Linked DNA regions of Tribolium castaneum. The protein of the gene in region 2 binds, or shares a complex with, the protein of the main gene of each other region. Links are inferred from orthologs where the notes say so. Each region holds a gene or a part of one and is shown on either strand. Other genes may lie near its edges.

Region 1 (4,255 bases), on a different chromosome or scaffold from region 2:
ACATGTTTTCACTAAATCGGACTAAAAAAGCAAATAAAAATAAATTGAGTTTATCATTACATCATTACATTATTTTGCATTTTCAAGCTGTCAGTACAAAACGTAATTTTTTAGCAATTAATATTCAAATGAATTAAACAATACAGAAATACAAATTTTATTGCATTTTCCGGCGTTTATTAAATACGTTTTTTGAGAAGAATTATTAAATTAGGTAAAATGAAATTTTTGTGGAAATATTGATTTGTAAAAAAATTATTTAATCATAGAATGGATTAACAACTATATAATAGTGACATTTTGTTTGGAAATAATTTATAATAAAAAACTAAATAGTTTTTGACTATGATAAAATTTCCATATAAAATGTATGAGTTTAATTTTCGGGTAACAAAGTTACCTATGGGAAAATAAATCCTTTTGTGCAAAATTTCGCAATATGTAATATAATATTTACAGTACATTTAAAGGATGTATTCGGTATTAACTTCGTATCTATTATGTAAAGCTTAAACGAATATTTTTTACCTATATGGGCATAATCATTAGGTGATTTAATATGCATTATTGATTTTCAAAACGATTCGTATCGAGATTAAATCTGAGCAATTTAAAAAAAAACAACTGTAGTTGTGACCTCTTCGAATAACAAAAGCAATTTTTAATAAAATAAAAATTCCATAAACATTTTTAATGCGGTTTTTATTATGCATACAACATTTAGCTTTTTTCTTATGACAGCAGGGTCGCTTAGTCACTTCGCAGTATAGAGATTTATAGACGTTACGTTTATGCTTTAATAAAACACAAAAAACGGGTAGTTTTAACAGTTTATTTCATATGCAATTACAAAATAGTTACAATGCAGGTAGAGAACGACGAATTATACAAACTTATAAAAACTTAATTATGATAGACTTGTAAGTGGCGGAAATGGATTCTGTTTACTAACAACAACCTTCCTATGTTGATGCGAAATGTATCCTTTAATTTTCCCTTCATAAATAAGATTAGCAACAATACATTCTGTTTCATCCAAATCAACATCAGTCTGTCCTAAATACACTAAAGCAGTCTGCAGTGCTTCAATAGGGATTTGATGCGTATTTAGAATCAAATACACCTTTTTAAACAAATTTCTATATGCTATGATTTTCAGTTTATCAACAATCAGATATATTCCACACTTGATGAAAAAGGTTTCGTGCTTTTCCATAATCTCGTCAAACGCTTTGAGATTACCCTGACATACAGCTTGTACTAAATCCCACAACTGGATGACGTCATACTTCTCCAGAACCTCCTTGCTTGGGATATACCCCAACAACATTTTCACAGGAACTAAGTAAATCAATATAAGCGTTTTGTTCTTCTTACTGAGCTTGTGACAATTTTCAAAAGCATAAGTTAAATACTCATCGGCGACTTTATAATCGCTATCAAACATAGCCTTGCGCCCCACAAAATACCGATATGTGATTTGTTGGCTCAGAGAAAAACTCTCTTTAAACGGTGATGACTCAATCGCTCTGATTAAGGGCTTGCACAAATGTAGCTTATTTATCCGAAAATAAACCTTAAACAATTGATTCACCAAAGCCAACATCCCTATCCTCTTTGTATCCTCCTCTGCTGACCTATTATCAGCAGCACACACCCTGAAACAACCCATCAAGCATTCTGCTGCCTTCTCGAGCATTTCGCCGGGCTTCTCATTAATTCCGCTCCTCTGATTCTCGGCTAATTGCGCCAAAAGACGCAAGTCTAAGCACAAGACATACATAATAGGCAAAGACCAATTCTCCTCCTTTTGCGATTGCAAGATCTTAGTGAAAGTTTGCGTCAAATTGCTCTGAATGTTATAAGCCGATAGATAGTCACTCTGGCTTATGGCAAACAGGCATTTTAGGTGCAAAATCACTAATTCGTCGATAGGGGCGGTCAAAAAACGCTCAACTATTCCCTCAGGACTCTCAATGTGGTAATTGGCATAACCTGCATGTTCGTGGCGAAGAGACAGAAAACTGGCCACTTTTGCACCGTCCTGAGACCGCCAATACCTTTCCACAAGTTGTAGGTAATGAGCAACGGACATAAAAGTCATTTTGCTGAAAAACTAAGGTTAGGGGCGTCAGTTAACCGAAACCGCTTCATTTATAAATGAAATTGAACTGTTACTCACGTGATTTAGGCACAAGTGTTATATTTGTTGCTTCCGTTACGCAAAGAACATTATGTCTTACGAGTTTGACGAAAAAATGTTTGAATAAGCTTGAAAATAAACAAGTCTTTGCAATGGTGATAAAATGGCCGATAGGGAGCGGTGCGATTCATACAAGTAAAATCAATAATAATTTCTGTGACCTAACAAAATTTAAGATATTTGAGCTTAATTCGTGTTATATGTCCCATAGTACTAATAATAGGGATTAAATTAATGCAAATCCTGGAAGTAAAATGCCATAAAAACGAAAACTGTTCGTAGACCAGTTCGCAAGCCGCATGTTTTCTTCCCACACAGAGATGGCGCTCCGAGGAACAGCTTGATGCAACTTGACCGGGAACTTATCCAACTTGATTTTATTAAAAAATTTTTAGGAAATTATAAACACAGTCGTGAAAACGTTTTATTATTCTAGTCAAGGATAAATCATAATTTAAAAATCCATTACACAGGAAAGTAATAACTTCAACAATAATGAATTTAAAGCGCCTAGTAATGGAATTTATGGAAAGAAATTATTTACTTCTTTGCTATTTTAAACTTTAATAATGCTTCACGTGCCAGACCCATAAATCAGTATAATAAGCAATTTAAACGTTAATTGTAGTTTACTTTTAGCTCCTTATGAAACAAAAAAATTAAGTACTGTTTATTAGAAACTAAAGCTACACATTACGAACTTAAAAGTATTTGTTTGTATAGTGCTACTTAAAAAACAAAACCATATTTTACAAAAAAAAACTTATAAGTATAAGTAGGTAGACGACGTTTAAATTACAAACAAGTTATGTTTTAAATGATGACCGTACAAAAGCATATAAAAGGTTTTTATGTTCATCTATAAAATTTAAAAACAAATTTTACAGGGTGTCCCAGCAAAAGTATATTTTTACTGCATGACAAGCTAAATAATTACACAGAATTCCAAATTTGCTTTAAATACTTTTAGTATGCCTTATTATGTACCATAAAAAGTTATTTTTTCTATATCTACATTTTATAATTTTAAAATAAAACAATATAAAAAAGCAATATTCTATATCTTGAATGTCTGTGTGATTAATGATTATGATAGTTTGAGAAATGCAACGTAATTATTAACAACTTAAAAAAGAATCAAAAATAAAGAACTATTTAACAGAATTGACACGTTTACTGAAATATGATTCTGATGTAATTTTTTTAGCTGAATTTAAATCCGAAAGTTTTTTTTTTGATTTGGAATAGCCTTCACTGTAAAAAAGACGTTTATGTAAAAAAATTCAAAAATTAATATAAAGCAAATTTGTGTTCACATCTTCATTTCCTCATATTTTTCTTCTGAGTAAAGCTAGAAACTTGAAAATATTTTTAGGCGAACAGAGGGCTCACATCCATATCTAAATTCTGTAAATATTTTATGTAAATATTTTTCCATTTAATGTTCAATAGTAGTGCACTTAATCAACTCGTATTGCATTAAGTTGGTTTGGACTAGTTGATTTCGTTCCGTTTATAAACTATGAAAAATCGAGCCTTCTTTAGATGATTCAGAGCACAATAAAAATCAATTTGTTGAAGTCTGATAAGAATTTGCACTAGACATGCAGTCTGGAGCAGTCCAACACGATAGAAATTTAAACAAACTGGGTCAATCAGTTCGCATCCTTGTAGTCGTAACTTCATTTTATTCAACTGCGAGTAAATAAATTCTTTTGTAGAACGAAACAATTATAAAATTTTGTAGCTCACTGCCAAGGCAAATAGCACACGCAAAAAGCCAAGATCATGTTTCCCCGTTAATTAACACGAAATTCCGCATGCAAATTCGTTGCATAACATGACTTAACGCGTATTATTACACGTTTTGGGACCATTGATAAAAACTGAACGTCAGTTTAATTTGTGATCAATTGATTAATTCTCTAGCATGCTGTTTAGGCAATGTTTACTACATGCTGACCAAACTAATTGGTAATAAGCGGTGAAAGCTTAGGACCGATCACGTAGTTGGCCCTAAAAAATTTCCTAGTCCCGGATTTACGACGACAA
Region 2 (4,752 bases):
GTTAAAAGAGAAATTTTTTGCGGCCAGAGTGACTTACAGTGACCCTGACACAATCACTGATACGAAAATTGAGGAATTTGAGGACTTGGCGAGTGCACTTAAAGTGGCCAATTAAAAGTATTATTGTTTACGTAAAGTATTTATTTAATAAAAAATTGTTAAAAAAATCATCATTTTAATTGGGCTTCGTGTACCAAAGCTCGTGCTAAATTCCGGGTCGCTGACAGTCTCAAGATCGGAAGTTTGTCTTTCAAGTCTTTGGTTTTTTCCTGCTCTTCCAAACACTGCATAATGATGTAGGTATCAGTTGAGGAAAAAACCATTTTTTCGCACTCAAGTAGCGGTATTGCGTCAGTTAATAGAATACTCCAGAAACTACAAGATAATCTTTAGATAAAAAACCGCAATTTTAAGTGTTTTCCCCTTACAAGTTTGGTATTATTTTCGACTCAAGTAACGAAACGAGCAAATTGGCGGCTTCTTTGTACTCGTTCGCTTGATATAACTTCTGGAATTCGTAATATTTGCCTAAAAACATCAACCTATCGCTTGCCAAAATACACGATCCGAGATTATCCAAAAGATCAATACTGTTCAAATCGCCACTTTCGGCATACTCTCGCAGAAATTTGTTCGATAAAAACGACACAAAAGTGCCGTCTTGTGATTTGAGGGCCCAGGCGAGGGCGTGTCCCAGACGCCCCCGGTTTTTACAAGCCATTCCTTGCACTTTACAAATACTTTGTGCCGTTTCGGTTAAATTCCGGTTCAGAGCCTCTCTCACAATTTTCTCAGCCCGCATTTCGGAATTTAGAGGCAGTCTTGCAAGTAGTAATTTTGTGACTTCAGGGCCATCGCTGGGACAGTGGTCCAAGTAGCTTAAACCGACCTGCCATAGTGACTTATGGCCCATTAAAAGCGAGCCATAATCGATTAAAAATGACTCGCGCAATTTATCAGGGTGGCTGAAATAATAATTGTAAAATAAACGGTTTAAAAAAAATCGGGGACTCACAAATTTTCAATAGTTTCGATAGTTGTGTCGCTTAGACGGCCTGAATGGTAAAGTAGGTCGGTTAAGTGGCTCACAAACCAGCCACTGTCTGTCATATTTTGGATTTCTTTAATCACCTGGCAAAGAAATGTTAGAATTTATGTGTACATTTGCAAAAAAGTGTAAAACTAAAAGTATAGCCGAAAAATACAGGATTATTCAAAAGTCTCAGTTTTATTTAATAACTTAACAGAGGTGGCGCCATATTACCTGTAAAATATCAAACTCCATTGCTGCCAACAACATCCTATCCAAATGCTTAATTCTATTCCCTATGGACATTTTCGTGATACACTGTTTGGCAAACTGTCCCAACTCAAACGATTTAACAGTAGGTTGGGTAAAAAATAACCACGCGGCTAACATTTCATACCACGTCTCGCAATACTGCTGTATTTCCCCCCATGCAATTTCGTTACCAACCGTAAGCTACAAAAAATCTTATAAAGAAAACTACCAACTCAAACACACTTAAAACAAAACCTTCATAATCAAATTGAGATTATAACAAGAAATAAACATTTTCGCATCAATTTTCGATTGAACATCCACGACCCAATGATTCCATTGTAGATTAAATTCAGCGATTGAAGTCCCACTAAACATCTAAAGTCGGCCATGAACACCTGTCAATTTCTCCCAGCCTACTTACGTTATAAACCGGCATTGCTCTCAGACACTGATCCACAATTCTGAAAGGTTGTGACTCAGCTTCTGAGTGTAATTTAAGTAGGGCCCTAACGACCTTGACCCGCCCTTGTAATAGTGACCCAATGACAGTTTCCCAATAGTCAGGGTGTGACTCCAAACCACCCAAATCCCCAGCCAACATACTTGCCGCATTTCGGTCATATTTCGGAAAATGAAACCGAATCCAGTCCAGTAAGTGGGGCAAAACAATGTTGCCTAAAACCCCAACTGTTTGGCAAAAATCCCCAAATTTTGTGTCACTACAGAGGTCTATAACTTAGGAGGAAACGATGTACGAAATTACCGGATTTTCTGAACCTAAAAAAGTCCGGAATTTTTTTTAAATATAGTTAACGATAAAACTACCGAGTTCAGGACGTTTTATTTGTACGTCGTTTCGCATCCTAGCTTTTAGATATCCGTGTCACTAACCCACCTGGGACCGCATCAACAAATAAGATTTCACACAAGTGCCAAATACACTCAACTGAGTAAAAAATCGTAATGTAATTTTGCAATTCTTCGCGATAATCGCCATCGGCTCGCATCACCTCGTCTTGCAAATTCTCCAAACAGGCCCTTATTATGGACCTGTACTGCCGGCTAAGTTTCAATAATTCGGCCTTGTGGTCGCCCTCAGTGGCTACAAGGGCTTGAAGGGTTAGAAACGTCCCGTTGGCCTCATTTACCAATTTGCGTAAAATTGGTTTGAAGAGAATAATGTCGGGGCGCAGCTGAAACACAGAGGCGTCCGAGGGGGCAAAGTGACTCGGTTTATCAACTTTTGGTGTTTTCTGGTGGCCGAAAACACCGAATTCGTTGACGGAAAGCCACGAAGCCGCCACTCCAGCACGTCGGCATAACTCATTTGGAATAACCTACAAGTTATTATGACCTAACCTCAAAAATTGATCGCTGCTTACGAAAGTTTTGGCGGTATTGTCCATTAATACGGGTCGGGAAGCGTTAAATAACACGAAATTTTGCGCCTTTTCATTCAAAAAAACCGTATTTTTTTCGAATTTTGTTTGAGGAGAGCGGTTAGCCGGGTCGGTAATTTAGAAATCTGTTCGGTTACTAGGGTTACTTTCGTTTTGGGTTGGTAGCGAGAACGGTAACGGTAGGGATTTAACTTCGCCGTCAATCCTGTGGGCGGGTATTTTGAATTTGTTATATTGGGGTGATACTCACGTTGAGGCCTTCTCCTGGTGCGAGTGTGACGTTGAGCGCGATTCTGTCGGTTTCTTGCGTACGAAAAATCGCATAATGAAGTCTTTTTCTTTGAGCGTTTGAGTGTCAATGCTCCTAATTTCTGCCTCTCTGGCTTCCTGCATGCGGGCTTGATCTGCGAGGAGCTTGTCAATTAGATCCTTAATTTGGCCTCTGGAATGTTCAATTCTGGAGGTCCACTGTTTCATTAAACGGTAGTTTTCCCTTGCTTTGTTGCTCCGATCGTTTACTTTCACACTAGTCATGTCCCGGAGCATCGTATGGCGAACACTTTGACTTTCGAAATATCGCACAATGTAATTTGAAAGGGTGCTTAAGTAAAGCATCAAGTGGTTTATGTTCTCGTCAGTGCTTACTTTATTTTTTATCAAATAATTGACAATAAACCAGTCCACTAACTGCAAGTCGTATTTTGCCAAAACAAGTTAGAGAATTATCGGGACTTACCCGAAATTCAGTCACTGTGATTCCCTTAAGTGCGTGGCTAACTGCAATTTGTTTGATTAAATCGAGCGCTTGTTCGATGCGTCTCTGTTTGAGATAAGTTAAAACCATTTCATGAACGTGAAGTAACGAGACGAAATGAGTGATCATTCGTCTTTGGATAGTATATGTGTCTGTTTGCTGATTCGGGTTCCGGGCACTTGCAGCCCCAAACTTTTCTACCACTTTATCAGGCATTTTCAATGTCCTGCCAAAAAATAGAAAATAACCCGGCGCATCCACCATTTTTCAAATTCAAATAAGTGTTTAAATACGTTCTGGAGTAAGCTAGTGTTGTAAAAAAAACATATGATACGTAAAATGAGTCGCTGAATTCACTGGAATAAACCGTTTTGTTCTACGAATTTTAGTTTTTGAGTTATGAATTTTTTGAATAGGCAAAAAAATTAAATTAAATAAAACAGTACCCTGCGTGGATGTCGCTAACAATTTGCCCCAAATGCCTCTTCAGAAGCGACAGCACTAACTGTGAGGTTCTGATGGTCAAGGGGGCCAAATGATCAGCTGTGAAAGTCTGAGACTTGATGTACATACTCTGCAGTTCGCCGTAATGAATCAATTCACTGTCACACTTCGACACCGAAGGCTTTTCAGACAAATGAAACGAGGGGGAAGTACATATCGAAGGATAGGTGATTGATGGTGGAATAGTTTCGATACTCCCGGTATAAAAAATATGGGAATAAGTGCTTTGTTCGCTACCTCGTGGACGACTCAATTTTTTACCCATTTTAATTTGACGTAAAATAAAACAAAGTGTCACAAAAAACATTTATTAAGACTAGATTTTAACAAAAAAATACTACGATTTAAATATATCAACAACATTGATTTTTAATTTGGCCTTTTGCTCCTTCATTGACTCCTTAAACGCCGTACTTAAACTAACATCGTCTTCCTCCTTTTTGACTTCTTGGTGGCTCTTCTTCAACAAATCAATTGCCTCCTTGTAGATTTGTTCTTCAGTCGCTGACTCGCCATACTGTGCTTGAATTGTTGTATAACTCTCGATGAATTTCTGCGTCAGGGTTTTATATTTCGTGTCGAGTAAATGCGTAGCGCCGATTTTTTTATTATTGCGGTGAAAAATACTAAACTGTGATGAGTCAAACTATTCGGTTACGTTACTTACGCTCGTATTTTGTCCTCTTCGTAGAAAATTTGTTTAATGGGGATATTGGGCGCAGGCCGGTCGTAGTTTGGCTCTTCTTTGGGGGGAAAAGCCTCGTAAATGTCAAACCAAAGGGGGCGATCCTCCCACCTCACGCCCCCCG

The links. Proteins that work in one complex are often made in the same cells at the same time.
Region 1: Nup75 (region 2) and PCID2 share a complex: the UniProt entries of both Drosophila melanogaster proteins name them as parts of the nuclear pore complex. The link is inferred for Tribolium castaneum from reciprocal best matches to the Drosophila melanogaster genes Nup75 and PCID2.

The regions. Positions count from the first base shown.
Region 1 is NC_087397.1:8,459,670-8,463,924, forward strand, and holds PCID2 (PCI domain-containing protein 2), read right to left. Parts: upstream 2,338-4,255; 5' UTR 2,183-2,337; intron 2,117-2,182; 5' UTR 2,105-2,116; coding exon 908-2,104; 3' UTR 819-907; downstream 1-818. UniProt on the Drosophila melanogaster protein: Required for the export of nuclear mRNAs and involved in mRNA trafficking in the cytoplasm.
Region 2 is NC_087399.1:876,128-880,879, reverse strand, and holds Nup75 (nuclear pore complex protein Nup85), read right to left. Parts: upstream 2,801-4,752; 5' UTR 2,692-2,800; coding exon 2,668-2,691; exon of another isoform or gene 2,623-2,667; coding exon 2,181-2,622; exon of another isoform or gene 1,961-2,180; coding exon 1,707-1,960; exon of another isoform or gene 1,661-1,706; coding exon 1,538-1,660; exon of another isoform or gene 1,484-1,537; coding exon 1,265-1,483; exon of another isoform or gene 1,132-1,264; coding exon 1,016-1,131; exon of another isoform or gene 966-1,015; coding exon 429-965; exon of another isoform or gene 376-428; coding exon 171-375; 3' UTR 121-170; downstream 1-120. Other genes in the region: oxidized purine nucleoside triphosphate hydrolase, read left to right, coding at 1-115; uncharacterized protein LOC660898, read right to left, coding at 2,803-2,890, 2,936-3,372, 3,422-3,665, 3,886-4,250; mRpS23 (small ribosomal subunit protein mS23), read right to left, coding at 4,281-4,569, 4,611-4,752. UniProt on the Drosophila melanogaster protein: Component of the nuclear pore complex (NPC) that seems to be required for NPC assembly and maintenance. Required for nuclear import of phosphorylated Mad via importin msk.